Linked DNA regions of Cricetulus griseus. The protein of the gene in region 6 interacts with the protein of the main gene of each other region in a pairwise test. Links are inferred from orthologs where the notes say so. Each region holds a gene or a part of one and is shown on either strand. Other genes may lie near its edges. The genes, in order: L3mbtl2, probable global transcription activator SNF2L2, Eaf2, Nif3l1, Psmf1, Bend7 and Ppp1r37.

What was found.
Region 1: the proteins of Bend7 (region 6) and L3mbtl2 interact in binary tests that used the Homo sapiens proteins (3 or more experiments, as listed by UniProt). The two-hybrid records come from large-scale screens. The link is inferred for Cricetulus griseus from reciprocal best matches to the Homo sapiens genes BEND7 and L3MBTL2.
Region 2: the proteins of Bend7 (region 6) and probable global transcription activator SNF2L2 interact in binary tests that used the Homo sapiens proteins (3 or more experiments, as listed by UniProt). The two-hybrid records come from large-scale screens. The link is inferred for Cricetulus griseus from reciprocal best matches to the Homo sapiens genes BEND7 and SMARCA2.
Region 3: the proteins of Bend7 (region 6) and Eaf2 interact in binary tests that used the Homo sapiens proteins (3 or more experiments, as listed by UniProt). The two-hybrid records come from large-scale screens. The link is inferred for Cricetulus griseus from reciprocal best matches to the Homo sapiens genes BEND7 and EAF2.
Region 4: the proteins of Bend7 (region 6) and Nif3l1 interact in binary tests that used the Homo sapiens proteins (3 or more experiments, as listed by UniProt). The two-hybrid records come from large-scale screens. The link is inferred for Cricetulus griseus from reciprocal best matches to the Homo sapiens genes BEND7 and NIF3L1.
Region 5: the proteins of Bend7 (region 6) and Psmf1 interact in a two-hybrid assay, tested with the Homo sapiens proteins (2 studies listed by BioGRID and IntAct). The two-hybrid records come from large-scale screens. The link is inferred for Cricetulus griseus from reciprocal best matches to the Homo sapiens genes BEND7 and PSMF1.
Region 7: the proteins of Bend7 (region 6) and Ppp1r37 interact in binary tests that used the Homo sapiens proteins (3 or more experiments, as listed by UniProt). The two-hybrid records come from large-scale screens. The link is inferred for Cricetulus griseus from reciprocal best matches to the Homo sapiens genes BEND7 and PPP1R37.

What each region holds. Positions count from the first base shown.
Region 1 is NC_048595.1:378,814,035-378,817,998, forward strand, and holds part of L3mbtl2 (lethal(3)malignant brain tumor-like protein 2), read left to right. Parts: intron 1-684; coding exon 685-808; intron 809-1,697; coding exon of another isoform or gene 1,698-1,776; coding exon 1,777-1,856; intron 1,857-3,964. UniProt on the Homo sapiens protein: Putative Polycomb group (PcG) protein. PcG proteins maintain the transcriptionally repressive state of genes, probably via a modification of chromatin, rendering it heritably changed in its expressibility.
Region 2 is NC_048596.1:34,604,534-34,608,497, reverse strand, and holds part of probable global transcription activator SNF2L2, read left to right. Parts: intron 1-1,640; coding exon 1,641-1,746; intron 1,747-2,148; coding exon 2,149-2,250; intron 2,251-3,964. UniProt on the Homo sapiens protein: ATPase involved in transcriptional activation and repression of select genes by chromatin remodeling (alteration of DNA-nucleosome topology).
Region 3 is NC_048597.1:53,161,066-53,165,674, forward strand, and holds the start of Eaf2 (ELL-associated factor 2), read left to right. Parts: upstream 1-1,722; 5' UTR 1,723-1,846; coding exon 1,847-1,952; intron 1,953-4,609. UniProt on the Homo sapiens protein: Acts as a transcriptional transactivator of TCEA1 elongation activity. Acts as a transcriptional transactivator of ELL and ELL2 elongation activities. Potent inducer of apoptosis in prostatic and non-prostatic cell lines.
Region 4 is NC_048595.1:412,847,419-412,850,265, forward strand, and holds the end of Nif3l1 (NIF3-like protein 1), read left to right. Parts: intron 1-1,678; coding exon 1,679-1,863; 3' UTR 1,864-2,101; downstream 2,102-2,847. UniProt on the Homo sapiens protein: May function as a transcriptional corepressor through its interaction with COPS2, negatively regulating the expression of genes involved in neuronal differentiation.
Region 5 is NC_048599.1:28,279,502-28,283,955, forward strand, and holds the start of Psmf1 (proteasome inhibitor PI31 subunit), read left to right. Parts: upstream 1-1,496; 5' UTR 1,497-1,643; coding exon 1,644-1,772; intron 1,773-4,454. UniProt on the Homo sapiens protein: Plays an important role in control of proteasome function. Inhibits the hydrolysis of protein and peptide substrates by the 20S proteasome. Also inhibits the activation of the proteasome by the proteasome regulatory proteins PA700 and PA28.
Region 6 is NC_048596.1:221,952,932-221,956,895, reverse strand, and holds part of Bend7 (BEN domain-containing protein 7), read right to left. Parts: intron 1,734-3,964; coding exon 1,611-1,733; intron 1-1,610.
Region 7 is NC_048602.1:27,823,843-27,827,622, forward strand, and holds the end of Ppp1r37 (protein phosphatase 1 regulatory subunit 37), read left to right. Parts: intron 1-727; coding exon 728-869; intron 870-1,020; coding exon 1,021-1,187; intron 1,188-1,298; coding exon 1,299-2,064; intron 2,065-2,310; coding exon 2,311-2,393; 3' UTR 2,394-2,397; intron 2,398-2,535; 3' UTR 2,536-3,042; downstream 3,043-3,780. UniProt on the Homo sapiens protein: Inhibits phosphatase activity of protein phosphatase 1 (PP1) complexes.

The DNA.
Region 1 (3,964 bases), on a different chromosome or scaffold from region 6:
ATGTTGGTGGGTTTGGAGAGTTTCTGGCTGCTCTGCAGCCCCTCAGTTGTAGCTCTCCAGGGAGCTGGGAACATGGAGAGGACTGCAGGAAAATGTTAGGGAGAGGCTTCTTGAGAAGTCAAAGGTCTGAATGATGCATGCATGTCTCTCCCTCATCTGCAGCACCACTGACCCCATCCTTCTGGAACCATCTCCTGAGTGTTCTCTCTCATAATCAGTATTTTTATTTATTTTATTTTAGTGTGTGTGTGTGTGTGTGTGTGTGTGTGTGTGTGTGTGTGTGTGTGTGTGTGTGTGTATTTTGAGACCAGGTTTCTCTGTGGCTGTCCTGGGACTCTTTCTGTAGACCAGGCTGGCCTTGAACTCACAGAGATCTGCCTGCTTCTGTTGGGATTAAATGCATGTGCCGCCATCACCTGGTTCATCAGCAGTTTTACAAAAGAAACTCCAGCTCAAAGAAAGTTAACTAGCTGGACCAAGACCAGGAGCTTGGCCTCAGCAGTCCCAACCAAGCTCTGCTTTCCCACTTGGTATGGTGGTGCATGCCTAGAATCTCAGAAATCAGGAGGCAGAGGCATGAGAGCTGCAAATTCCAGGCCATGATATCTCAAAGAAACAAAGCAAAACAGAAACTGATTCTGATGCATAACTGCCAGCCTGTATGATTTTCTTCTTGCCCTCCAGGGAAAGCCGCCCACCAAGAAAGCCAAAGTGCTGCACAAGGCAGCCTGGTCTGCCAAAATTGGAGCCTTCCTTCATGCCCAGGGGACAGGACAGCTAGCAGATGGGACACCCACAGGACAAGATGGTGAGACAGAACCCTGGGGTAGGGACCATGGCAGAAAACAGCCTTGCCTGGGAGAAAGGTGGACTGCTGTAAAGTTGAGGCTCTAGGCCTACCATGAGCTGTTGCCATCTGACTTTTGTGGAAATGATCTTAGGCATTTCTTTCAGTGGCCCTCAATTCCCTGGTTCTGAGAGCACCCAGAAACCAAATGCTAGCTGCTTCATTTCACTTAGCATCTGTCTATATGGCTCTGACTCCCAGGGTATGTGGAGCAGGTGGAAGGGGCCTCTCAGTTTTCTAAGCATAGCAATTGATGAGCAAATTACACAAAGCCTCCAAGAGGCTGAGACTGCACTGTGCAGCCGGGTGGGCAGTCTGCTGCTCTTCTTGCCCATTAGATGTGCTGGAGGAGGAATTTAATCCCATGAGATCTGACTTAATCACCTCTTTCTGTGGAGCATGAAGAGTGAAGTTTCTCTTTGGATGCCCCTCTGCTCTGCAGTTCTGATTGTTGTAATTCAATTAAAAAACTGCATGAGAGAGAAAGACACCATGAAACAGGGTTTAAGCAGAGGGTTTGTTTGTTTGTTTGTTTTCTAATTAGGGAAATGGATCATAAAAAGGGGAAAGGGGAAGTGGGGAGACCAGCCTTGGAAAACAGTAGCAGCAGGAGAGAAGACAAATGAAAGAGGGGGAGAGGGGAACAGACAGAGAGAGGGAGAAAAAGAAAGAGAGAAGGATGGGAGGTGGGCAGGGCCCTTTTAAAAGGGAACATAGTGAATATGCCCAGGTGGTGCTCTTAGTGGCTGCAGCTGAGGACATATCCTGTCAGCTTCAAAGACACGCCAGTACAGATGCCTGAATACTAATGCTGATGGCCATTGGTGGTAATAAAGGAACTTGTTCCTAGAGCCCAATGGGGCCTCCAGGTTCTTGTTCTAACATGGCTGCTGTAGATACTGCTTCAGCTTTACCCATGTGCTCTGCAGCTCTGGTCTTAGGGTTCGACTGGGGGAAGTTCCTGAAGGACCACAGTTACAAGGCTGCTCCTGTCAGCTGCTTTAAACACGTGAGTACTCTGGAAATAAGGGAGGAACAACCAGGGATAGCCAGGGGACATCTCAGGCTGCCTGCCACATTGCTACCCACACACTTCAGTTGAGCTGCGCCAGGCTGGACAGCATCTTTGAGAACAGTGGCCATTCCCCAGAAATTCTTTGTTTTCAGGGCTGGAGAGATGACAAGAGTACTGGCTGCTCCACTAGGAGTCCTGAATTCAATTCCTAGTACCCACATAGCAGCTCACAACCATCTATAACTGTATTCCCATGGGATACAATATACTTATACAATATATGCCAGGTATAGTGGCTCTACAAGAGCTAGTTCCAGGACAGCCTCCAAGGCCACAGAGAAACCCTGTCTTGAAAAATCAAAAGAGAGAGAGAGAGAGAGAGAGAGAGAGAGAGAGAGAGAGAGAGAGAAGGAAAGAAAGAAAGAAAGAAAGAAGGCATAAATACTGATCCTGCTTTCCGAAGTGTCTACATACTATTTACACAATTGGATTTTGGTTTGAGTTCAGTGGGTGTTCTTTTTTTCATTTTTCATTTTCATTTTTGATATTCCCCCCCCCCATTAAAAACCAGGCCAGACACTGGTGTGGCTTGTGTCTGGCCACAGCACTTTAATCCCAGCACTCTTGAACTCTGTGACTTCAAGACCAGCTTGGTTTACAGAGCAAGTTCCAGGACAGTCAAGGCTACATAGAAAAACCCTGTCTTGAAAAATCGAAAAACAAACAAACAAACAAACAAACAAACAAAAAAGAGGGCATCAGGTCCTCCCAAAGTAGAATTCTTTGCATGGTTGTGAGCTGCCATGTAGGTGCTGGGAGTCAAGCCCTGGTCCTCTTAATCAGTGCTCTTAATCATTAAATCATTTCTCCAGCCCTAATTTGTTTTGTTTTGGCAGGATTTCATATATCTGAGGCTGGCCTCTAACTTCCTATGTAGCTGAGGATAGCTTTGAACTTCTGGTCCTCCTGCCTCTACCTCCCAACTGCTAGAATCACAAGCATGTGCCACCATGCCCAGCCTTCTGCCACTAGGGATTGCACACACTTTATATCATCAAGCTGCACCCTTAGCCCTTGTCTGAGGACCTTTCTAATACCAAACATCCCATTGGGGGACTACCTTCTGGTTCTTCCTGAAGAATAAAGGGTCCTGTTTGGCTGATTTGGATGAGCTTGTGGCCAAGAATGTGATAGTGCTCAGCAGCTGTTCCTTGTGCTAGCCTGGAATGATACAGCGGGTCTTTTGTCTTTTTATTATTTATTTGTTTGTTTGTTTCCAGACAGGGTTTCTCTGTGTAGCTCTGGCTATCCTGGAACTCACTTTGTAGACCAGGCTGGCACAACACTTGCCTGTGCGTCCTAGTCCTGGGATTACAGGCATGTGCCAGTACTACCAGTCTTGTCTTTCATTTTTGTGTCTTTTGTTTTAATTCAAGACAGGGTCTCACATTATAGCTCAGACTAGCCTGAGGGCAGTCTTCCTGCCTTTGTCTCAAAAGTGCTGGCACATAGGTATCAGCCATCAAGACCAGTTTTTTTGTTTTTGAGGCAGGGTTTCTCTATAGCTTTGGAGGCTGTCCTGGAACATCGCTCTATAAACCAGGCTGGCCTTGGACTCATAGAGATCTGTCTGCCTCTGCCTCCTGAGTGCTGGGATTAAAGGCATTCCTCAAGCCTGGTTTCTTTAGGCTTTCAGTCCTGTCTCCTAATGTCAGAGAGGCCTCCTGAGGCTTTCTTTTGAGCAGAGTGAGCCAGCTGCCTGGCCTTCCTGGATTGTCCACTTGTCTTCAACTATGACAGGTTGGTCCTAAGTCCTACAATGTCCTTCTCTGAGTTGCTAATGTGTCTTTCTTGCAGGGGAAGAAAGCATTCTCTTTTTCCCTACAGTTGTATTGTAAGGAAATTAGGTCACATTTAACACAATATAAAAGAAGCCCTGTAAAGAGTTTGCCTGTGGAGCCTGGCAGTGGTGGGACACACACACGCCTTTAATCCCAGCACTTGGGGGCAGAGCAGGTGAATCTTTGTGAGTTTGAAGCCAGCCTGGTCTAAAGATCCAGGATAGCTAGGGCTGTTACACATAGAAACCTTGTCTCGGAAAA
Region 2 (3,964 bases), about 190 Mb from region 6:
CAGAATTAGAGAGAGAGACAGAGAGATGGGGTGGGGTGGGGGGGATCGGGTGGGGTGGGGCGGGGCTTTTTTTGGTGCCATTCAGATATTCTTTTTAAAACAGGTTAAATGTGAGTTATGAGTTTATACATTCCAAAATAGCAGGAAAATATGGACCTATGTTGGAATTGATTGTACATAAGAAACTGTGCTATAGCCTGCTGGGAATGGAAGGGTAGAGAACACCTTGGTTCTCACCGCAGTAATCCAAGAATCTAATTTCCTAGCCTTCAGTAGTCTTGTTTTTAAACCTCTTGTGTTTGTCCCCAATGTTGTATTCATGAGGCCCCTCCATGCATTAAAAATAAAACAAAACAGTGACCCTCTATGGCCGAAAAACTTGCCCATCCTTTGACTATCGGCGGTTAATTTATGCAGGCCCCTTTGCACTTCAGCTTTTCCCCCACTGGTTGCTAGGCAACCGCTTGAGTTACTGCGCATGCCTCTTTTATGATAACTGTCATTATGATTATTTTTTAATTATACAACTGGGACTGTGGATTAAAACAGCATATTGTCACTCATGCCTTGCCACTGCCTCTGAGCGTTCCCGAACACTGGTGCAGTCACCTTCCAAAATTTACATGCCAGGGGTTTATGATTATCTTTTGATGTTTCTGGCGTCACAAAGGAACCAGAGATGCCATCAAAAGGGCAGCGAGATTTTTTGTGGAAAATGACTAGACCATCTATCATAAGCTGTTATTGATTTAGAGAGGCCAAATCAGGCACTGGGGTCTTGAACCTCAATTATCCTTCTTTGTGGCTTTAACTGTGCCTGCTCCCAGCCTTAAGTGATGTGAAAACCGTGTTGCTCTGCAGCCTGCTCTTCCGAGTGACAGAACGCTAAAGCATTTCTCTCCTAAACCTGCTTTCAATAAACCCACCATTCTTTGGGGGGAGGGTACAGCACAGACTCTATAAACATGCAGCGTGCACGCATTAGCAATTGTCTCTCTCTCTCTCTCTCTCTCTCTCTCTCTCTCTCTCTCTCTCTCTCTCTCTCGCCTGAATTGCCAAATTGCTCCACACACATAAGTGCATTTAGGGGACGTGAAGGGGCTCCTCGGGCAAGGGATAATAGAAGGGACTCATGACTTGTAGAACACTGTAAAAGGAATGAGACAGGAAGGGCTGGAGAGAGCATACAACAGCTTCACATTTGCATTGCTCTGTATATTTTAACATATTTTCTAAATACACAGTGAGTTTGAAGACAAAGGAACGTGGGAGTCATGTCTGTGTGCTTTCTTTTAACCAACTCTGTTATTCATTTAAAATGGGACTTGGGGCTCAATAAGTTATTTTAAATATTTCTGTCATGATGAAAAGAGATTACCTCCTGACAGGGGAGTCCACAGAGTCCTTGCCACATCGTGTGCCTGTGACAGAAATGGGGACCTAACTGAGCGTTCATGTGATTTGAAGCCCTCCCAATGGGCATCAGCCTCCAATGCAGTGGTGGGCGTTTCCTCCATGTGCAGAGCCCCCATGCCTGTATCCGTGGGACCTCCTTTGCTTTGTTGACAGTCTCTGAAACGACCCTTTCCCTGAGGAGTGCTTTATCTGCTTTGTTTCTGTTTGTCTCCCCCATCCTGCAGTTCAGGGCGACAGCTCAGTGAAGTCTTCATTCAGTTACCTTCCAGGAAAGAGTTACCAGAATACTATGAATTAATTAGGAAGCCAGTGGATTTCAAAAAGATAAAGGTAGATACTGTGTTCACTGTTATTCTTCGAGTAAACAAAGGAGATGCATGGATGCTCGGGAGTGACGCTAGCTGGGGCTGGGGTCGTGGCCTCCTGGTTGCTAACCACTGACCTACACAAGTGCTTGCCCCAGGAAAGGTGGGGATGGGCTGACCTTGATCCTTTCCATGCATGTTATTTGATCACCGAAAGCTCAGATTATATACATTGCATGTTGTTGAGAACCCGCCTCTCCCTTGTGTGCACCTTCCTCCCCAGCCCTCGGAACACTGGTGGGAGGGTCTCGCAGTCCCACGCACTCAGCAAGGCTGAGTGCTGTGAAGACAAAGGGACATCGGGGCCTTCTTCAACAATAAGGACAGTTACATATTTCTCTTCTGTTTTGTTCAAAATTCCCATCAGGAAAGAATTCGTAATCACAAGTACCGGAGCCTGGGTGACCTGGAGAAAGATGTCATGCTTCTCTGTCACAATGCACAGACATTCAACTTGGAGGGATCCCAGGTATGTGTCAAGTTGTCTGAGAAGTGTCTAACCTGACCCATGCTGAGGTTCTCGGAAGTGGAGCATTTCCGTTTCGTTTCTACTTTTGGAACCATTGCCTCCACCCCAGCAGAGCACTGAAAACCGAAAGGCCTTGTTCTCTACTGTCAGTGTGAATAAAGGGAGGTTTTTTTGTGCGATATCTGGGTGGGCTTCTTCTCACACTTCCTTCAAGGCTCATCTTCCCATTAGAGGAAGAGTTCAAGAAAGCCATTGAAGGTAATGCTAGAAGGCTGGGTACCATCTGTGTACTTACAGAGACTGTATGCAGTGACAGCTTCATTTTTCTAACTTTAACTTTACACGAAGAGTTCAAAGTACAATGATTTAAAACAGAATAGGGGGTGCCTCTAATTGTTACTTTAAAAAAAATTCTTGACATTCCCTTCTCCACAGTCAGGAAGTCATTGTACATAACAGTGAATTTATGAGCATAAGGAGGAGGACATTTCCACTTTAATTACAACTCAATTCTACTTACCTTTGGTGGGAACTGATTTTTTTTTTCCCTATCTATCTTTCTGGCCTGATGCTCCCATATCCAGTAAAAGAGAAGGAGCAGGACAGGTCAAGTTACACAGAGATCCTGCATGTAGCATGTTGTCTAGCAGAGTCCACTTTCACAGCTGGGGATTGACAGTGATGTCTCCACCCATCTCTCCACCTTGGCCTCTCACCTTTCTCCTGTGCATGCTTGTCTCCCCGCAGCCAGCTTGTCCTCACCCTAACTTGTCAGCTCAGATCTCTGGCAGATTTTTTTCCCCCATTCCACAGTGTTATCCTTCTTGTTCCCTGCTTGTCATCACCATTTCCCTCAGGCTGACCTGCCACTTCCTTGACGATGTGGGTCATCTCCATGGCAAAAGAATTTAATCCCAGAGGGCAAAGGCCCATTTATTTATTCATCGCCCTTGAATGGTGGTCAGAAGACAACATAAACTTTACCACCTTAACATTTTTTTTTTCTCTTTTTTGAGACAGGGTTTCTCTGTGTAGCTTTGGAGCCTGTCCTGGAACTCCATCTGGAGACCAAGCTGGCCTCAAATTAACAGAGATCTGCCTGCCTCTGCCTCCCGAGTGCTGGGATTAAAGGCTTGCGCCACCACTCCCTGGCACCTTAACTGTTTTTTAAGGGTGGAGTTCAGTAGTGGTAAGGCTGCTCTCATGGGTGCTTAACAGGTCTCTGGTAGTATTTCATCTCTTAGAAATGACGAAGGCCTAAGCCTTTAGCAGTTCTCCCCTACCCCGGTTCCTATAACCACCTACTTTGTGTGAGTTTGACATGAGTGGGATTGCTTGGTGTCCATCTTTTGGTGACTGGCTTCCTAGGGTTCCTTTGTGTTGTAGAAAGTAACAGGAGGTACTTCCTCCCAAAAGCTGAGTCCTAGTCACTGCATCTGCCATGTTTTCTTTAGTCACTGATCTGTCTACAGATCTTTGAGTTCCCTCTGAATTCTTGGCTACGGTGCCTCTCCGGAACATGGGCATGTGGAGGAGATTTATTTCCTCAAGACTCTGTTTCTACTTATTTTGGGTATATATATCCAGAAGCGATGGTGGTTTTATCTTAATTTTTTGAGGGAAAGGACTATGTTTAGGTAGACTTCCTGTTTCTTTCAGTGGTGTTTCCTCTCAGCAGGGGAGGGTGCACAGTGTATTAGGTGACTTTTGGCTG
Region 3 (4,609 bases), on a different chromosome or scaffold from region 6:
TCTTTCTTCTTGGGAAAAATATAAATCATTCATAGACAAGTTCACTGAAGCCATTTTAAAGAAAGACCAATAAAACACTTAGCATTGTAGAAGATACAAAACTTTCCTATAGAATGCATGTTAATTATCTTACTCTTTCCAGTGTCTGCATTATCCTATCTGTTCTTTGTGAGAGTGCATTGAAATATACTTAAACATCTCATTCACTGGATGTCATTTAGGTTGCAAATTATTATATACAATACTGCAATAGAAATCCATGTGCAAGTAAGTATGTATGCACTCATTTGGCCCACAGAACAAATGCCCCTTGATATTAGACGGCCAAAAGTCAACGATCTTAGCTTCTCAAAACAAATATTTCCATCTGTAAGCAAAGCTGCTATTCCTAGGCCCTGCAATTCAAAATTTAGAAGGTAGCCACCAATGATGTCTTAAAATACGAAAGTATAGCTGAATCCTAAATAAGCATGCCCTATAATTGTACTTGCTTGCATGTATTTCATTTAACCATCTCAACAATTCTAAAGGAGGGGCATTGTTTTCTGCATAGCTATTATCATTACTTCCCGAATTCTAATGATTCTAATGATAAACGCGTTTGTTTGAATTGCTTGCACAAAGTCACAGCGTTACAATGAAACTGGAGTACAAGCTCAGAGATTCTGGCTCCAAAACCTTCGTGTCTAATTATCATATAAAACAGTCTCCATGCACCTTTAGAGGGTAGAAGGCAAACCTAATCACCTGTCCACCTGGAAAAATACATTGACATATCTGTTTAAGGTAGAAGTGGAGGAATGATACAATTAGCCTGAAAAAAAAAAAAAATCATCTGCTGGAGCAACTCATTGCATGGTTTTACTGAATTCCCTTCTAACATTCATAATGAATGCTTTCTCTCACTTTACAATGATGCTGTGAAGTGTCAAGAGGAAAGGGAAAAAAAAGACAATTATTGATCAATTCATACGTTTACTCTGTTGCTAGGCCGATCCTTGAGGAATCAAGAGTCCCAGGCCGTGCCCTTCACTGCCTCCAGGAATCACTAGGATGGAAACAAATGCCAGAAACCTAATGCAGTCAGTTACCCCTAGTCCTAAGCTTCATCCCCCCGCCCCCCGCGCCCCGCGCCCCGCGCCCCGCCCCGAAATGCTCCCTCCTCAGACCCTAACCCTGGCGGGAAAAGGCCTGTGGTGTTTAAAGGTTAAAAAACGGCCCTCAAGGGAACTGCATCACTTCCAGTGGCTTCCAGTCTGGTCAGGGCACCGACGGGGTAGCGGCTGGGGTTCTAGAACCGGCCGGGAGCTACTAGGCCTCGGGAAGCCACAGGCCTGGGCCCAGCCGCCGCCCCTCCTCAGGCGTCCGTTTCCAAACCTGCGGGCCAGGCGCGGAGGAGGCCCAGCTCCGGTCACCAGGCCCCGCCAGCCAGTTCACTAGGTCGAAGAGCCTGGCGTCCTAGCTTCTCCGCCCCCTGGATGCCTCAGCCATCCCAGGCGCCACCTCAGCTCTGTTACCTCATCTTCGCCTCGCCTTCGTCCACCTCAGGCCCAGACCCGCAGCGCGCACCTCAGCACGGCTGCGTTCGCCGAGCTGCGTGCGTCGCGACGCGGGAAGGGGGCTAAGGGCGGGAGAGGGGGGCTAGGGGCGGGGCGGGACCGCAGGGGATGGGCGTGGCAGCTGTCTCCAGACAGCCAATCAGGACGCGGGGCCTCCAAGGGGCGGGCGCACGCGCCGGAGATCCCAGCCCGCAGGCAGGGACCGAGCTCAGGCTCGCGGCCGGTGCAGCTGCTTGGAAGGCTGCGACAGCGGGTGGCGAAGGCCAAGTGGGTGGCAGAGAAAGAGAATGAATGGACCAGCGGGACTCGCGTACCTGGACCGTCGCGAGCGGGTTCTCAAATTAGGCGAAAGCTTCGAGAAGCAGCCGCGCTGTGCGTTCCACACCGTGCGCTGTGAGTGCGGGCTGCTCGGGGTACCCGGGAGGAACCTCCTGGGTGCTGTGTGGGTGGGTGACATGGAAGCAGACGCTTCGGAATTCTGTAATTCTGTCCCCGCGGCCCTTTGCGCACCGGGAAACCCGATGGCAGCATGATCCACTACACGGTTCCCAGTCTCGGCGCGGACACCTGGTGTCCTGCAGGTGTAGGAGAACCCTGGGAGGATTTAAGAGGGGCTGACAGGCAGGAGAGGACGTTTTGTGGGGAAGATCTGTAGGGGTGGCTGTGGAGACTAGCATGACAAGTGGATGGTGCAGCGAGGAAAGGTGACAGACAGATGGAACAAAGGACCGAATGCGGGGCAAAAGGGATGTTTAGAGGCCACAGGGACATTTCTTCCCCATTTTCACTTGTCCTCTGATGACGGTTCTCGTTTTAGTTTGTGGGGAGAGACTGTCAGCTATCTCAATAGTTTGTATCTTTTTTTAGATCTCAAATTTCATGGTCAGCTAAGTACTGATTATCAAAAACTGAAAGGTGAGGTTTTAATAAGTTATCTTTAATATTGTTGGAAAATTGGTTACAATGAGCCTTTTGTTTTAGTAATTACATGATATAGATGCCAGTACGAAAAAATATAGCATACTTTTGTATGTAAAATTTCTTTTTTGCATAATAGGCCTCAGAGTTCTAGAGCATAAAGGAAACATCGTTGAGTCGTGACCTCCTGTGTGTGTGTGTGTGTGTGTGTGTCTGTGTGAGTGTGTGTGACAAATTGTGAAGAGTTTTTTTTCACATCTTTTTTTTTTTCCAGCCCAGGTGTTCTTTACTGTCTCATTGTTTTACCTTCCTCAATCATTCTGTCCTTTTTCTTATAAAGTTTATATTCTGAAAACACCCTATTTAAACTCAGCCCTCAAAGTTTAAGTTGTAAACAATCTAACTATAATAACTCAGAGGAGATGTAGGAAGAAACAATGGTTTTAATTTTCAAATGATATGTTTACACTTTATTAAAAGGTTTTATTATGCATGTTTTGGTGGAGTAAACTGGAGAGATTTACCAGCAGAGCGCCAATGATGTCCCTTGTTTATTTTGCCCTGATGACAATTCAGACGACTTCCCAAAATGAAACAGGAGCAAGTGCTGTGCAGGTCCTTGTGTTCTCTCTCTCTCTCTCTCTCTCTCTCTCTCTCTCTCTCTCTCTCTCTCTCTCTCTCCCTCCCTCCCTCTTCAGTTTCATTTTCCAAAAGTAACATACTCTTCTTATCTGATCTCTCAATGCCCTTTCCCCAAGTAGCATGTCCTTTCCTCTTCCTTCTCAGATATGCAGTAATATTTTATTTTTCAAGCTACAAGGTTTAAAATAACAAAAAAGTTATATAGAGATAGATTATATTATTTTAAATTTTACATGTGTATATGTGGGCCTGAGTGTATATATGTACATCGTATGTATGCAGGTGCCCTCAGAGGCCACAAGAAAGCCTCACATCACTTGTAACTGGACTTACCAGTGATTATCAGTCACCTGATGTCAGTGCTCAAAATGATTCAAGTTTTCTGCAAGAACAAGTACTTTTAACTGCTGAGCCATCTCTCCAGTCCCTCAATGTGTCTATTTTTATAACGTAGGTATGCATTCTCTTCTTACAGATACAAATCCAAAATTAAATGAATGAAATACAGCTTCTGAAAAGTGCCTCAAAGGTGCTTCAAAGACTTTCATTTATAGCTTCTTTGATTGATTGATTGATTGACTGATTGATTGATTGCAGCATTAGAACTCAAACTCAGGGCCTGGCACATACTAGTCAAGTGATCTACCTGAGCTACATCCCCACCTTTACAAAAGTTCTTAAAATGATGAAATCATATTTTCTAGAGTCACATAACCCAGCCACAAGAAAGACAACAAACAAGAATATGCAAAAAGACAATGATAATAATAATTACAGAGTAAACAAACTTAGATTACACACTTAGTCTTGCAGAAGGCATTAAACAGGTTTTCAGTCTTTGTTTTTTTGTCTCTCTCTCTCCTTATTGAATTAAGTATAATATCACACAGATTCTTTTCATGTTTATTTAAGTAAAACCTGGTATTATACTTAAGAAGAGGTTCATTTCCAGGGTAACTCCGAGTCTTAATAATTCAGTGACAAGTGGAGACTACACAATAGAGAATTTTGCATTTGTGCAGGCCAGATGGGCCAAATTTATACCAAACACACAAGCTAGTGTCATTTGAGAGAAAGTATTATTTTGTCTTATCTACAGCATAAATTTTGCTTGTCTTTTATACTAAGGCTTTGGATAAGCTTGTCTGTGAACCCTGACCTTCACTAACTGCATATATAATGTGACTTTGAGAACATTTTCAAAGCTTTCAGCCTCAGTGTTCATATGTGAAAATGGTAATAGCTACCTTTTAGATTTTTTCTGAGGGATTATGGTAGCATTAAAAAAACTAGCAGAGAATTTAGAACATGGTAAAGAATAAATAATAGTCACTATTAGTTTTATGAGTTATGTTCATAGGTGCATGAGGAGTATTAATGCATGTAACTTATGTAAGTGTAGTAAAGGTAACATTTAGCAACAAAGATACATTACATAGAAGAGTTTGAATAATACATTAGAACTAATTTTGGATTTGGGCTAGCACTAG
Region 4 (2,847 bases), on a different chromosome or scaffold from region 6:
TGATGGTGCACACCTTAAATCCCATGACTCAGAAGCAGGAGGGTCTATTTGAGTTCAAGGCCAGCCTGGTCTACAGAACAATTTCCAGAACAGCCAGGGCTACACAGAGAAACCCTGTCTTAAAAAAAAAAACAAAACAAAACAAACAACAACAACAACAACAACAAACACTTAAAATTTTTATTTTTATTGGCTTTATGTCTGTAAACACTGATTAAAGTTTAATTTTCTATAAACAAACCAAATTGTATGTAACACATACATAGGCACACACATTATTTCAAAAGTTTCATACGGATTGATCATTTATTCTCTCCTCTCCCACAATGTTTTTGTTTTTAAAAATTCAAAACATATTTGAGTTTTCCCTTTATCTTTTTCACAGTACCTTTTTTTTTCCTTCTTTCTTTTTGGTTGTTCAAGTCAGTGTTTCTCCATATAACACCTCTGGCTGTCCTGGAAGTCTCTCTGTAGACCAGGCTGGCCTCAAACTCAGTGATCTGCCTTTGCCTCCTGAGTGCTGGGATTAAAGGCGTGTTCCACCACTGCCCAGCCACAATAACTAACAAGGCCTTTTTTCTTTGGTAGCTTATTTGTTGACAGGGTCTCCTATAACCCAGAATTGCCTCAAACTATTTAGCTGAGGCTGGCTTTGGACTCCTGATCCTCTTGCCTTGGCTTCCCAAGTTCTAGGACTACATATACGTCATCCTTGGCAGCATTTTGCAATAGTCAAAGAAAAATATTTATGTCCAAAATGCTACAAAACTGGCCATGTGGTGGTAGCGCACGCCTTTGATCCCAGCACTTGGGAGGCAGAGGCAGGCGGATCTCTGTGAGTTCAAGACCCCCTTGGTTTACAAGAACTAGTTCCAGGACAGCCTCCAAAACCACAGAGAAACCCCATCTCAAAAAAACAAACAAACAAAACTGTTTTGTTTTTGTTTTTCAAGACAGAATTTCTCTGTGTACCTTTGTAGACCAGGCTGACCTGGAACTCACAGAGATACACCTGCCTCTGCCTCCCTGTTTTAAATAACACAAGCATAAGAGGAAAATTCTACACTTGGAGTCATGTGACAAGTTATAGTAAAAATGCTGGTCAGGTAGTTCAAGCCAGCCTCCCAAAGCTATAGAGAAGAGCTGTCTCAAAAACAAAACAAAAAAATGCTGGCACATTCAAAATACTATATGATACTATATTCAGGCCATGAAAATAAAGTATAGATGAAATATAAAATGAAATTCATATTTTGGGCTCAAGGGATAAACACACTTGCTTTGCAAACCTAATGACTGGACTTCAATTCCTGCTGCCACAAGGGGAGGATAGAACTGACTTCTGAAAGCTGATTTCTGACCTACACTCCATGTGCGCACACACGCATGAAGCAGCACACCCAACGCCATCGGTCCCATCCCTGTATACTTGCTCCTGAACATGGACATGACTCTGCACCATAAAGTCACATGGGCAGCAAACGCAGGACCTTGTGCACAAGAGGCAAACATTCTGTCTGATCGCTCCATAAACCCTCCCTTGGTTTCCATGCTCAGGAGTAGTGTGGCATTGCATCCATTCCTTCAGAATACAAACCTGGGCTTTCTGCTGCAGTGGTTCAGGGTGCATAGATTCTGTGTCTAATATTTAAGAAGTTGCTCTTTCCTCTTTTGGCAGGTGAAATGTCCCACCATGATGTTCTGGATGCTGCTTCCAAAGGAATAAATGTCATTCTTTGTGAACATAGCAACACTGAACGAGGTTTCCTTTCCGATCTTCAACAAATGCTGGGTGTTCACTTGGAGAATAAGATCAATATTATCCTGTCTGAGACAGACAGGGACCCTCTTCATGTGGTTTAAAATGCACAGGACATCATAGTGACACAAGCTACACCTCATTTGGATTGAAATAGGAAGAGTTAGTGGTGTTGTCGTCCTTCTGCACAAGTTTATTTGAACGACATCATCTTCAGTTCATCGGTCTGTTTCATCAAGTTTTATAGCTCATAAGGAAAAAACCATGTGTAGAGTACAATAAAGACAAATATTCATTATAAATTCTTGGAAAAGGGGATTAAAACTTGTATATAATCAGGCATTTTTTGTTAGGTTGCTTACTTGTGACAAAATCCCACGTAACCCAGAATAGCCTCTACCTCACTATTTAGCTCAGGCTAGCCTTGGGCTTTTTTTTTTTTTTTTTTTTTTTTGGTTTTTCGAGACAGGGTTTCTCTGTGTAGCTTTGGAGCCTCTCCTGGCCCTTGCTTTGCAGACCAGGCTTGCCTCGAATTCACAGAGATCCGCCTTTCTCTGCCTCCCGAGTGCTGGGATTAAAGGCGTGCACCACCAATGCCTGGCCCCTTTGGTTAATCTTAAACATCATTTAAAAACAGATTTGGAGCTGGGTGTGGCAGTGCACAAGTATAATCCCAGCTTATGCTGTCCAAGCTTGCCTAGAACCCTATATCTCAAAATGAAAAAAAAAAAAAAAAAGCAACTGGAGAGATGGCTCAGCAGTTAAACATACTTGCTGCTCTTGCATTGGACCAGAATTCACTTCCCAGCACTAAGCACTAACATGATAGCTCACAACCACCTGTAACTCCAGCTCTAGGGCACCCACCCTCGCAAAGACAAGAAAAACAGCAACAAAAAATGGATTTAGATTTATTTCTAAACAGCATTTTGGAGTGATGAAGTCATTCCATGTGCTTTTAAGTTAGATATCAATTTTTTATTGGGATTTTAAAAAATTCATAGATGATCATTACATCTCAATTTATTCCTATAATTTTGTTTTATGGTGGTGTAGGGATCAAACTGCTCAAGTTGACAGCATGAACC
Region 5 (4,454 bases), on a different chromosome or scaffold from region 6:
ATCACGAACCAACAATTCTAACATACTTCAGTGATAAAATTCTCCTCCCTACTGGTGCTGATAGCTTTCTCTGCTGCATGCCTGCCCCCACTCCCCAGCATGCCGCCGACTCTGAAAGCACAGTGTGGAGGGTAGTTAAAGGTGAGCCCGAGATGAGAGAGACAGTGTTGATTCTCCAGCCACACAGGGAGAGCTGAATTTCACACCTAGGTGCCTTTGCACATCCTGTTCCCTTTCACAGGAACGTTTTTCTTTATTCTTCCACCAGATTTCTATACTGTCATCCATCTCTTTCTTCAAGAAACCCTTCCTGACCCTCACCTGAATCACAGGATTCCTGTGGGCTTGCACAGGCCTCTGAGCACTTCCAAAATGGCAGGTTTCACCCTGGACTAATTTTTGTCTGTTCTTTTTTAACCACTAAACAGCTCCATCAGGGTAAGACTATGGCTTGTTCACCTAGACATGAGAGCTGAAGGAAGTCAAAGTTATTACAGTCAGGAGAACAGGAGATGAAGGGACACTTGGAAGAGACATTAGAAAGGCATAGGGCCTGTGGCAGACCCAGAGTGGACTTCTCTTCTCCTTTGTGGAGGGAGCCCTGGGTGGTTTGGACCTAAGGAACATGGTCCTCCTTGTGTTTCAGCAGAATCCCTCTGGTTGCAGGGTGAAATCGTGTAGCAGAAAAGGTATCCAGGTGAAAAAAGACAATGGCTTGGGTCATGGTATCAACCAAAATGGGGAAAGTGAATTTATTTGACTACAAAAAAAGTACTGGACTTCAAAAAACTTGGGAGACATAATAGGTGGTAAAAAAAAAAAATCTTGAGGTAGGTAGGAGAACAACTGATAATATTTGGCTATTCGCTCATGGGCGCCAACAACTCTCTGGTCTGTTTTGTCACTTGCAAAGTTAGGAGAGGTAATAGAATAGACCCATGAATTTGTCGCGAGGAGACGTAAAGGCTTTAGCACAGGATTTAGTGTGAAATCTATATGTTCAAATGCTATCCTAGAAGCCAAGTTGCTAGCCCCTGGGCGCATCTCTATCACTTACTGGCTGACAGTGACACAGTTTCCAAATCTACAAAGTGGAACAGTACTTTCATTAATACCAACCGCATAAAATTTAATCTGGGAGAGTTCAATAAATGCATTCAAGCTCAGCACGTAGAATAAGGTGCTATCAGGCAGGCACTGCAGGCATGCTAATAAATTACTATGAAAACATCTACACCAGACTGCTTAAGTACTTCCCACCCTAGTGCACTCCACTTTGCAGATGAGAAGCCTACTGTAGTTGGCAGCAAGGTGGCCTCTCTCCAAGAATAAACTGCCTGCCTTCGAGTGGTCGGTGTGCTGTAGACGGAAGCAGAATCGGGCTGTGAGAAGTCGCGGCCCCGCTCGTGTGCTCCCTAACGGAACCTTCCAGCGCGGCGCCGGCGGTTCCAGCCCGGAGCGCCTACAAAGCTAAGAGCTATTTCCGGCACAGGTTTCTGCGTTTCCGCGCAGGTGCGGACAGAGCCCAAAGCGAAAGGAACACCCCTGGTGTTGCCGCTTTCGCCGTCCCGCTCCTCTGAGGCGGCGCGGCTTGCTCTTTGCCAGCTCCTTTCCTTCCTTCCCCACAGAAGCCGCGAGCGTCCATGGCGGGCCTGGAGGTTCTCTTCGCGTCGGCCGCGCCTGCCATCAGCTGCCCGCAGGACGCGCTCGTCTGCTTCCTGCACTGGGAAGTGGTGACAAACGGCTACTATGTCTTGGGCACAGGCGACCAGGTACGCTGCGGAGCAGGCCTGGGTGGAGGGGAGCCCGCAACCAGAGGCCCAGAGGGCTCGCCTGACCCTGCCGAGCCAGGGCCCGAGGTGACGCCGCACTTTGGCGCGCCTGGAGCTGGTGCCAGCAGCTGGCACAGCGTGTGTGTAACCGAAAGGCGTCCCGGCGCTTTCACTCAGGCCGAGTCGTGTGGATCTGACGCCGAGACAGACTAGTAGCTTCCTTAAAGTCCTCATCCACCCGACTTCCCCAAAGCATCTTTATCACACACAGTCATGGCGTGGACTACTCAATGCTACACACCCCATTCAAGTCACACACACACACACACACACACACACACACACACACACACCACACACACAATCACACACACCATTCAAGTCACACGCACACCAAGCACAGCTGTGGTGGTGAGCTTTGACCTCCTCAGCCATATTCTAGAACCCCACACACACACACACACATCACACACACAATCACACACACCATTCAAGTCACACGCACACCAAGCACAGCTGTGGTGGTGAGCTTTGATCTACTCAGCCATATTCTAGAACCCCCTCCCCCCCACACACATACACACACTTAGCACGATGGACCAGCCAGAGCCCACTCACTACTCATCTACAGCACACACACGCCTTCTTTGTGAGTGTTCTTCCCTTAGCTGTCTCCACCAGAATCCAATCTATTCTCCTATCTCCAGATTCTGCCTCTTAACTGATGGGGCCTTGTTGACATCCCCATAGAGGTCCAGTATGCATCACTGATTCTCTGCCCTAGCCTTCTCCTTTTCTCTGCCCCTTCCTTATGACCCTCATGTCTACCTGTGTAGCAGGTTTTTGGGTAAACTGGCCCTGGTCCCCTTACTGCCTTTCATTTCCTATCTGCTCCACCAAAGGAACTCCCAGCCACAATCCCACATACACGTACTTGGAGACTCAAGGACTCCAGGCTTGCCCCTCTATGTTGCTGTCTTGGCACTCAAAATTCAGACCAGTCCTGGAAAGAAGGTCCCCTCACCCCCTGGAACTTACAGAGAGATTTTAAATCTTCCTCTCATTTCTAACTACGGTTCCCAAAACCCTACAATCTTTAGCTTCTTAGATACATTAGAGTCTTGGTATGTTTTCTCTCCTCACACAACTTTATGGACTCCTCCTTTGACACACTTTCAACATTCTGAGCACTTAACCAGGCATAGCCCTGCTGGAGTTCCATTCCTGTCTGTCCTATAAAACTAGGAACTCAGACCACTCTACCCTGTTTACACTTTACCCTCATTAGAAGGAAGCAATACACAAAATTTTTGTTGATTTCTTTCCCCGTTTCCTCCCAAACCTCAAGTAGCTCCCCAGCACTAAAAGATGCAGGATCCAGACATCTTCTGGAAGGACAAGGAGCCTGGGAGATGGGGTTTTGGAAAGTATTGCCTGCTGACCCTGTCTGCCTCCGTACTAAATCATGCATGCCCTTCGAGGGGACAGTGTTTGGGTTCGGACTAGAGTGCTGCCATTTGTTTCTTGTAGCCCCATCTCTTAAAGTCCTCTCAGGGCTCAGGTTGCCCTTGGCCACTCACTGCCAACGAGTGTTCTCTCATTCAGAATAGAAGCCAAAAGAATTTGAGAGGCATCTTTCCTGTTAGTTTATCTAGTAGAGAATTTTTATTTTCCAGTTTAGAGCCAGCAAATCAATAATGCTTGCCAGACATAGAGTGTATTTATTTGTATTGCCTGTCTAGCCGCCTCCTGCCATCCACCCTTCCAGGGGGTGATAACAGGGAAACAAGTATTTAAAGTATGTACTGGACTGTGTAATACCGACTCAGCAGTTAAACAGAATGCTATATTGTCCACTTTCTCTTTGGTTTTGTGTCTGCCACTGTAGAGCAGTGTGTGTAATATTTGATTTGAAGACCAACAGATCCCTTGACTTAAACAAAAATCTGACATTGGTTTGGTCTCTCTATTGGTCAGGGCTACTCTCCATAAGAGCTCCGTAGCTATGTCAGATGGCTTAAGTGGCACGGCATGGAGATGGCCATAGAGACAGAATTGGGCTTTCTGTTATGGGAGTCTGAAGATTATGAAGAAAGGGAAAAGGACCTGTTTGTGTGTGTGGTGTGTTGGTTGGTTGGTTACATTCTAGCCCATTGGCCCTGGGGTGAGCTCAGTAACCATTAAAGGATATTTCTAGCCTCAGAATTTCACCTAGGATGGCAGCTACCCTTACCTTCTTAGGACTGTCTGGAGAAAATCTCCAGCCTGCCCTGCACTGCCCTTCAATAGGTCTCAGCTCCTCTCAGGTCTTAGAGTTATCAACTGAGGGAGTTAAATTATACAAGCATGCTTTGGTCACTTGCCAACCATGGCCTTCTGGGACACTTGATATTATTTTATATCAAGGTGCAGAGGGCGGCCACTTGATGTCTTGGGCCACTTCTGTTTTCTGGGGAACACCGGTCTCACCATGGTGAGATGTCAGCTTTACATGACCCCAGCGATTCTGTCTTGCTCTGGAATGAAAGTGTTGAGGTGGAGAGCAGAACAAGTTGTCTGTATGCCAAGAGAGCATACTAGTGGGACGAATGCTGTACAAGTGGAGGTAAGGGAAAGTCAGAGGTCTTGACAGAATATAGATAAGGCATGTCACCCCATCTTCAAAAGTTACTCCTTAAAACC
Region 6 (3,964 bases):
CTCATGGGCAATAAGCCCCAAGTAAATCTGCCTGCACAACATGAATTTTTAAGTTTAAAAGAAAATTAAAGGAGAGTCATTTATTCGGTTTATCCTTTTTGTTCTCCATAGCTCTGGAGCCGTTTGCTTCACTAATCTGCAAAGGTTCAGAAGAGAAAACATGGTGACAAAATGGCATTTACTTAATAGATTCTAAAAAGACTCCAGTTAAGGATTTACAGGGGTGCAATTTGTAGTTTGCCATTTCAGTGGTAAGGAGCTTAAGTAACAAAATAAATCATTACAATTTCATATGCATATTTTCTTAAGTACTAACAGATTCCCTCTCCGTGAACAGCATCTACAGAGTAAAGTAACCTTTCATTCCGAGGTCCTTACATAGGAGATGGCGACCTCTGCCAGGCTGATAAGGACACAGAGTGCCATGGTGGAATAAGGTGAGCCAAGTACTTACTGACTTGACAAAATGCTTATTTTTGCCTTGGGATAAGACCAAATTCAGTCCTTAAAAATACAGTTTCCAGAAATCCCTTTGGTTTCTCTAAAAATTTGATTGTGGGTGACTGATATGTCTAAGAAGTAAGCTTTTTATATCAAAACCATACCATGGACTGTGAAGATTTTGCTAGAATGCTGTGGCTGGCACCAAGTGCATTTTCTGAGTGTTGACTTCATGAACACAACCGTGATCAGAGTCAGAAGGGCCATCACCACAGGGCTAGGCTGCTTTCCCGCTTTCCCATACTAACATCTACCAGCAGTTTATCCGTCAGGAGAGAGAGATTTGTTATTTTTTGCATATGTAACAAAAATAAAGAATAAATTTTCTTACTAATAGTGAAAATCGGAAAAATAAGCCACTGGACCTCGACTTCCAAACTTCTACAAAGTGCTGTGGGCTTTTAAAAGAACACTGAGGTGTGCATTCTGCCTTCCAAAAATCTCACTTTCTATAGCTATCTCCTTCACATTTAAAAACAGCCCCACGAATCAGACATTAATGCTCCATTCACAGATGAGAACTGGGAGGCCTAGAAGTCGTCCGGCTAGAGGGTGAGAAACTGGGAATTCAATTCCCAGCTCTACATGCCCGGTTCCATTGTTCACCTTACCCAGTGACAAAGAGAACAGAGAGAGTCAAGTGAAGGGAGTGGCCAGATGCAAGGTATGCCTGATCACTACATCCCGATGCAAGAGAAGTCACAGGCAGAGCCTGTGGCTCACCACTTCTCATCTGCTCACGTCCTCGAGCATCTTCACCAGGGAGGCTTGCATTTCCTGAAGGGCTCTTTCACATAAGATATTCCAAAATTTAATTAACTGGCATTTGTGAAGTACCAGGAGATCATGGGATGAAGTACACTGAATTCATGTGCATAAGCCCTGACAGCAGTATTAGGGGCAATAACAAAATCTGTTTGATTTGCTAAGAAAATAAAATAAGACAAAATCATAGGTTGTTGAAAAAAGTCAAGAAAACGAATACCTGAAAAGGCACAGTAAGACAGCAGGGAGGGAAGGAGTGTGGGACAAAAGGACAATGCACACAACCGAAGATGTCAGGCACACATTCCCAATCAAAGGGTGCTTTGCAGGGCTGGTCTTTGTACCTGCTTGAAACTGCATTAGCTTCCTCATGGTCTTGAGCTCCTGAAGAATGGCCTGCAATGTTGACTGGCAGCTACAAGTACAGCAGTTGGATCCAGCTGATGAGTTCGCCCCTGGAAGTTCTCCTAAGCAAGAAAGAAAAGAATGATATACTCCCAAAGCATGCAAAAAATAATTATAAAGAAAAGGAAAAAAAATGTATCTTGACAGGGTTTTGAAGTATGTACAATTATCTTCAAACTGTGCCAGAAGAAAATGTACCTAGTAATTTTCACAACCTGAATTTTGGGGTCTGACTTTATCTAATTACCCAGCCTTCTGCTTGTAAGGTGCATGCATGCTGCGTTACACACAGGTGGCATGGTCTGTGTGAACGCAGGCACACAACGCACTGCCAAGGCAGGCCTGTCTACTGTGAGGCCGGTTCATCACAGATAACGATACTCTGACAAGTCATGATAAACACTCATGCTATTTTCTCTTATATTTTTGGTTGTGAGGCTTTAATGGCTGAGCCATCCCCCTCAGCCCTCATGCTACTTTCTCAAACAGTGAAAACAAAACCAAAAACAGTCCCGGCTCTGCATCAGCCCTACAAAACCACCTTCGTAGCATGTGTGCTACAAAGTTCATATTAAGAACCAAACCAGCCTAATAAAAACTAGTTTTACTAGCAAGTGTGCCATTTCAACAATGAAGAGCTGTGGCTACGCAGGAACTTCTGCAATACGCTCTGGCTGGGGTGGGGAGAAGCTGGAGGCAGGGTGGGAGGGCACAGCACTTTGCCTGAAGGTTCAGAGGTGTTTCATGAAGGATTATCCCTCTTTTCTCCACCCTGCATCTTAGAATCCTCATCACCAGTCTCCTTCTCACGTTTACATTGAAGTACTTTCCTTATCAAAGCTACTCTCCTCTGTTTCCCCTAAATATGCACTAGAATTTCCCCACTGTCCATGAACAGAAACAGCACATTTGGAAAAAAGCTCTGGCAGCTGGACCTCTCTAGCTCCAGGTTAGCTACCATGAATCGGGGCAGACTAAGGGGCAGCTACTTCCTAAGTTTCTGACAGGCAGGAGATACAACCAATTCCTATAATACTCATTATTTGTAGATAGTGAAGTTTACCACAGCAAAACCACAAAAGAATGAAAGGTTACATATGGACAGCGCAAGCATTAACATTCAAATAGTAGCAAAGGGAGGTGACTCAGCTTTAGAACCACTAGCTATCCCAAAGAAACACATGGCAATCATATCTGTATCCTAGTGATCCTTGAGCAGCTCTGGGAGGTGGGCAGGGCATAGTCTCAAGTGAAGGCCAAGATCCCACTTCACTTCTAATTCCCCACAGTGGGAACAAGAGGTAGCTAAATATTACATTTGTTAAAATTTCTCCAAACTGCAAATGACATCATGATAGTCTATAGTATTTGTGTGCCCAAGTTGTAATAAATCTTGATTTTTAAAAAAAATAATGTATGTATTTTGGTAGTAAATTATAATGGCAAATAATAAGTGATATTATTTTATATATTTTATAAACTGATTTTATAAACTACATATTTTATATACTGATGACATGTCTAACTTTCCCATAATTTTTCACTATTTCTAGGCTGTGAGGTCTGTCTGAGAGTTTTCACAAACTGTTGCAAATCTCTACAAAACAGTTTCCTACAGGCAGAAGTGCATAATTCTAACATATGTTATTCAAGGGTCAACTGTATAATACATTTATATTTCTTTATGTGAATGATGAGTGTGAATATATATATATATATATAGAGAGAGAGAGAGAGAGAGACAGAGAGACAGAGAGAGAGACAGAGAGAGAGACAGAGAGAGAGACAGACAGAGAGAGAGAGAGAGAGAGAGAGAGAGAGAGAGAGAGAGAGAGAGAGAGAGAGAATCATTTGGGTGTGCATGTTGCTGTTGCTGTGTGTAGAGGGCAGAGGTTGGTGTCAGCTGTCTTCCTTGTCTCTCCACTGTTTTTAGACAGGGTCTCTCAATGAACTTGGAGCGCGTTGATCTGGTTAGATTGATGGGCTTATATGTTCTTTCTGACTTCATCCTGCTGGTGCTGGGATTACAGAAGCCACACCTGGATTTTATGTGGGTTCTGGGGCTTTGAACTCAGGTCTCCACACTACAGCACAGACACTTCAACAACTTGAACTCTCTTCAGCCCCTTGCATAATATATTTTTACTGAAATGATGCAAACAAGAAACATAAATGATCTATTTTGACTCTCATTTGAAGGAATTTTTTGTTTCAATGTTAGTAGCAGTTTCTAAAGTAGATCCAGCATTCTTGCATATTGGCGAGTAGACTATGTTACCCCCAAAACCACTGA
Region 7 (3,780 bases), on a different chromosome or scaffold from region 6:
AGTCACTTTTCTCCTTCTACCATATATAAATGCCCCAGTATAGAACTTGGATCCTTCAGCCATCTAGTCAGCCCTAGACCCTGTTTCTTTCATTATTTACCTTTCTTTTCTTTTCTTTTCTTTTTTCTTTTCAAGACTGAGTATCTCTGTGTCACTCTGACTGTCCTGGACTTGCTTTGTAGACCAGCTGGCTGGCCTAGAACTCAGAGATGCCACACTATGCGGGGCTGGGCCCTTTTCTTTAATTGACTTTTTGTAACAGACTACGTAGGACAGTGATTTGCACAAACTATGTTGGCCTAAAAAAGTTAATATTTCTGGAAGCAGTCAGTAAGTTTTTAGTCTTTTTATTATCATGTAATATATAAAGTAATTGGAGCAGGCATAAATACTCCCAGGGAAAGGAGGGGGCACTTTAGTGCCCAGTGCCCAGGTACCCTCCCACAAGAAGGCTGTCTTTGGGGTCTTTAAAGCCATTCGGAGACAGGCTCTGTGAGGGCAGGGAGTCAGGCTGTGAATATGGGGCCGCGTGGACTCTGGCGGGGAAGAGGGCCTAGTGAGGGCTGGGGGAGACCCAGCATGGGAAGGACTTGAGGGTCCCAGACCTGCAGTAGGCTTGTGCCCTGAGAGGCAAAGCAAGAGGAGGACACGAGCCTTGGCTGCTGCTTGTGCCCCTTTCCTGACTCCACCATTGGCTTTCCCTCCTCACCTACCCTGTCCCTTCCAGCCGCACACACAGAGTCTGGAGACCCTGAACCTGGGCCACAACCCCATTGGGAATGAGGGCATGCGCAACCTCAAGAATGGGCTCATCAGCAACCGGAGCGTGCTGCGCCTCGGCCTGGCCTCAACCAAGCTCACGTGCGAGGGTAGGATACGGGCCAGGGCCAGGGCCAGGGCCAGGGCCAGGGCCAGGGCCAGGGCCAGGGCCAGGGCGCAGGGGCCAGCGGGGCTCGGCAGGGCGGCCGGCCAGCGGCCAGGCGTGGGGCCCGTGGCCAGCCCCTGCGGTCCCCCTCCCAGGCGCGGTGGCCGTGGCAGAGTTCATCGCCGAGAGCCCCCGCCTCCTGAGACTGGACCTCCGGGAGAACGAGATCAAGACGGGCGGGCTCATGGCACTGTCCTTGGCCCTCAAGGTGAACCACTCCCTGCTTCGCCTGGACCTGGACCGCGAGCCCAAGAAGGAGGCGGTGAGGGCGCTTGCTTTTGTGCCAGTGCTGTCTTGGGCCGGGCAGGCGGGAGGGTGAGCGGGTCAGGGTAGGGCGGCGGCCGACAGAGCCCTAGCAGGCCGGGTCCCACAGGTGAAGACCTTCATTGAGACGCAGAAAGCCCTGCTGGCTGAGATCCAGAACGGCTGCAAGCGCAACTTCGTGCTGGTGCGCGAGCGGGAGAAGCAGCCGCTGCAGCCGGCGGCTTCCATGCCCGAGATCACCATCACCGCACCCCGGCCCCTGGACGAGCCTGGGGACCTGCCAGCCGCGGGGGCACAGAATGGGGCCCCTGGACCTGGACCTGGCCCCGACTCGGACTCGGACTCGGACTCGGACCCGGACCCGGACCGGGAGGAGCAGGAGGAGGAGGAGGAGGAGGCGGAGGACCAGGAGCAACAGAACCAGCAGAGGGATGAGGGCGGCGCTGACCGCAGCCCCTCGGCCCCCTGCCCTGCCCTCATCCCCTCCACGGACTCCCTAGGCCCTGGGGACAGGAGCCCCCCAGGCAGCCCCTCCGCCCCCGCTGAGCAGCGCATTTCTGTCTCCAGCCCGGGCCGAGGCCACAAGGTGTTCGTGGTGACCCGGGTGGAGAGTCCACCCGAGCGGCCAGAGCCCCCTGTGCCCCCCACCTTTGTCTCCTGTCCTCCCCGCTCTCCTCCCTCCCCACCCGCCTCTCGGCCGCCTCAGACCATGGACATCCCGGACCCAGAGTCATCCGAGGCTCAGCTGCAGCCGCAGCCACCTCAGGCAGGGCAGCCGCTGCCCAACGGCCTGAAGCCCGAGTTCGCCCTGGCGCTGCCCCCAGAGCCACCCCCGGGGCCGGAGGCTAAGGGGGACAGCTGCAGCCTGGAGCACGGTGAGAAGTGTGGGCAGGCGGGGGGGGGGGGACCGCGGCAGGGAAGGAAGCCCGTGGGGCCCGTGGGAGGGCTCGAGCTTGGGCTCGGTCTTGAGAATGGCGCAAAGGGGTAGAGAGGAAGAAGAGTGTGGCTGTGATCCCGTCTCTGGCCCCCCCGAAGCTCTCCGGGGGGGGGACGACTGTGTGGTGCGGAGGGGCAGGGCGGTGCCCTCCTGCCTCTGAGGAGCTGCCACCCTCCGCCCGCAGCACTGCACCGCCCCCAGGGGGCCAGCAAGCTGGAGGAACTGCTTTTAGAGGCCAGTCAGGAGGCCCCGCGGGACACACTGTGACACTGTAAGTAGGTGCCGCCCGCCCGCCCGTCCGTCCGTCCGTCCGTCCGTCCTTCCGTGGGATCCGAGCTGGGGAGGAGGCAGGGCTGCCCTCTGCCCACGCATGCCCGCTGACCGTCCCCACCTTTGTTCCCTCCCCCAGTTCTTTCTTTCGGCCGGTCTGTGATGAGCTGAAGCCATCCAGGGATCTGCTGACCCCCGCCTAGTCCCCCAGGAGGAACACTACAGCCACAAGGCGCTCGCACGGGGCTGGGGGCCGGGGGCGGCTTCCTGGACTTGAAAGCAAAGCACTATTTATGTGTCTGCCGCTCTCGCTCTCTAGGTTGGGGCCGGGTGGACAGGAGGAGGACGGACGGGAGGAGCTCTCCAGGGTCACTGGTCCTGGGGAGGGGTAGGAGGCAGGACAGATTAGGGTGGCCCCCTGGCCCCTTTCAGGACCTGGCCGGTGAGCTGAGCGTGGTGGTCGTTTGCCAGCCCCTGTGGGGTGGGGCCAGCGGAAAGGAAGAGAGCTTCTTTCTTAAGTGCAATAAAATCTATCAGGGAGCTGGGCACGCAGCAGTGGGGTTCTGGGACCCTGCTGCCCGGGCCGCTGAGGCTGCGCCCTGGCAGGCACTACAACAGTGGGCAGCGGGTGGGGGATAGGTGTGGGGAGGGGGGCTGGGGCCACTCCTGTCGGTGCCGCTGTCACACCTTTTCTAATAAACGGGAGCTGGGGTCACCGTCTGCCTCTGCTTCGCGCCGGGCCCAAGGGGGAGAGGTGAGCGCCCCCAAAGGAAACCCAGAAGGCTGGGCAGACCTCCCCATGCCCCCCACCTTCTTACCCATCCACACCTCGAGCAACACACTAAGGCCACTCTCTGTCACGTGCAGCCGGCCTGGAGGTTCCCGTGGCTGAGATAGCAGGTCCAGCCTGCCCTCTCCTGGCCCCATCTGTGGAGGGAGGGGTGGGCACAGGGCCTGTGAGCCTCCTGCTCTGCCATTAGCATGTGCCTGGCTTGTGGACTACCAGAGAAATACCGGGTCTGTGACTCAGGCTGAAAAGATCACAAGTTCCAGGCCACTCTGGGTAACTTAGACTGAAAGTGAAGACTTAGACAGTGGTGAGCCTTGGCTTCAATCTCAGGCACCGCAAGAAATGAAAACTAAGGAGAGCCATCCATCTGGACTGATACATAGAGAAACTGTCTGGAGAAACCAAACCAACCAAAAACCTGAGAGGCCTCTGCACCCCACCATTGTATCTGTCAGAGATTTTTTAAAGTTACTTTTTAGGCACAGGATGTGTGTGTACAGATTGGTGTGTGACTACAGCGCATGCCTGCCATGACACACTCATGGAGCTGAGAGGAGAACCCTGGGTATTTTTCTACCACACCTCATTTGGGTG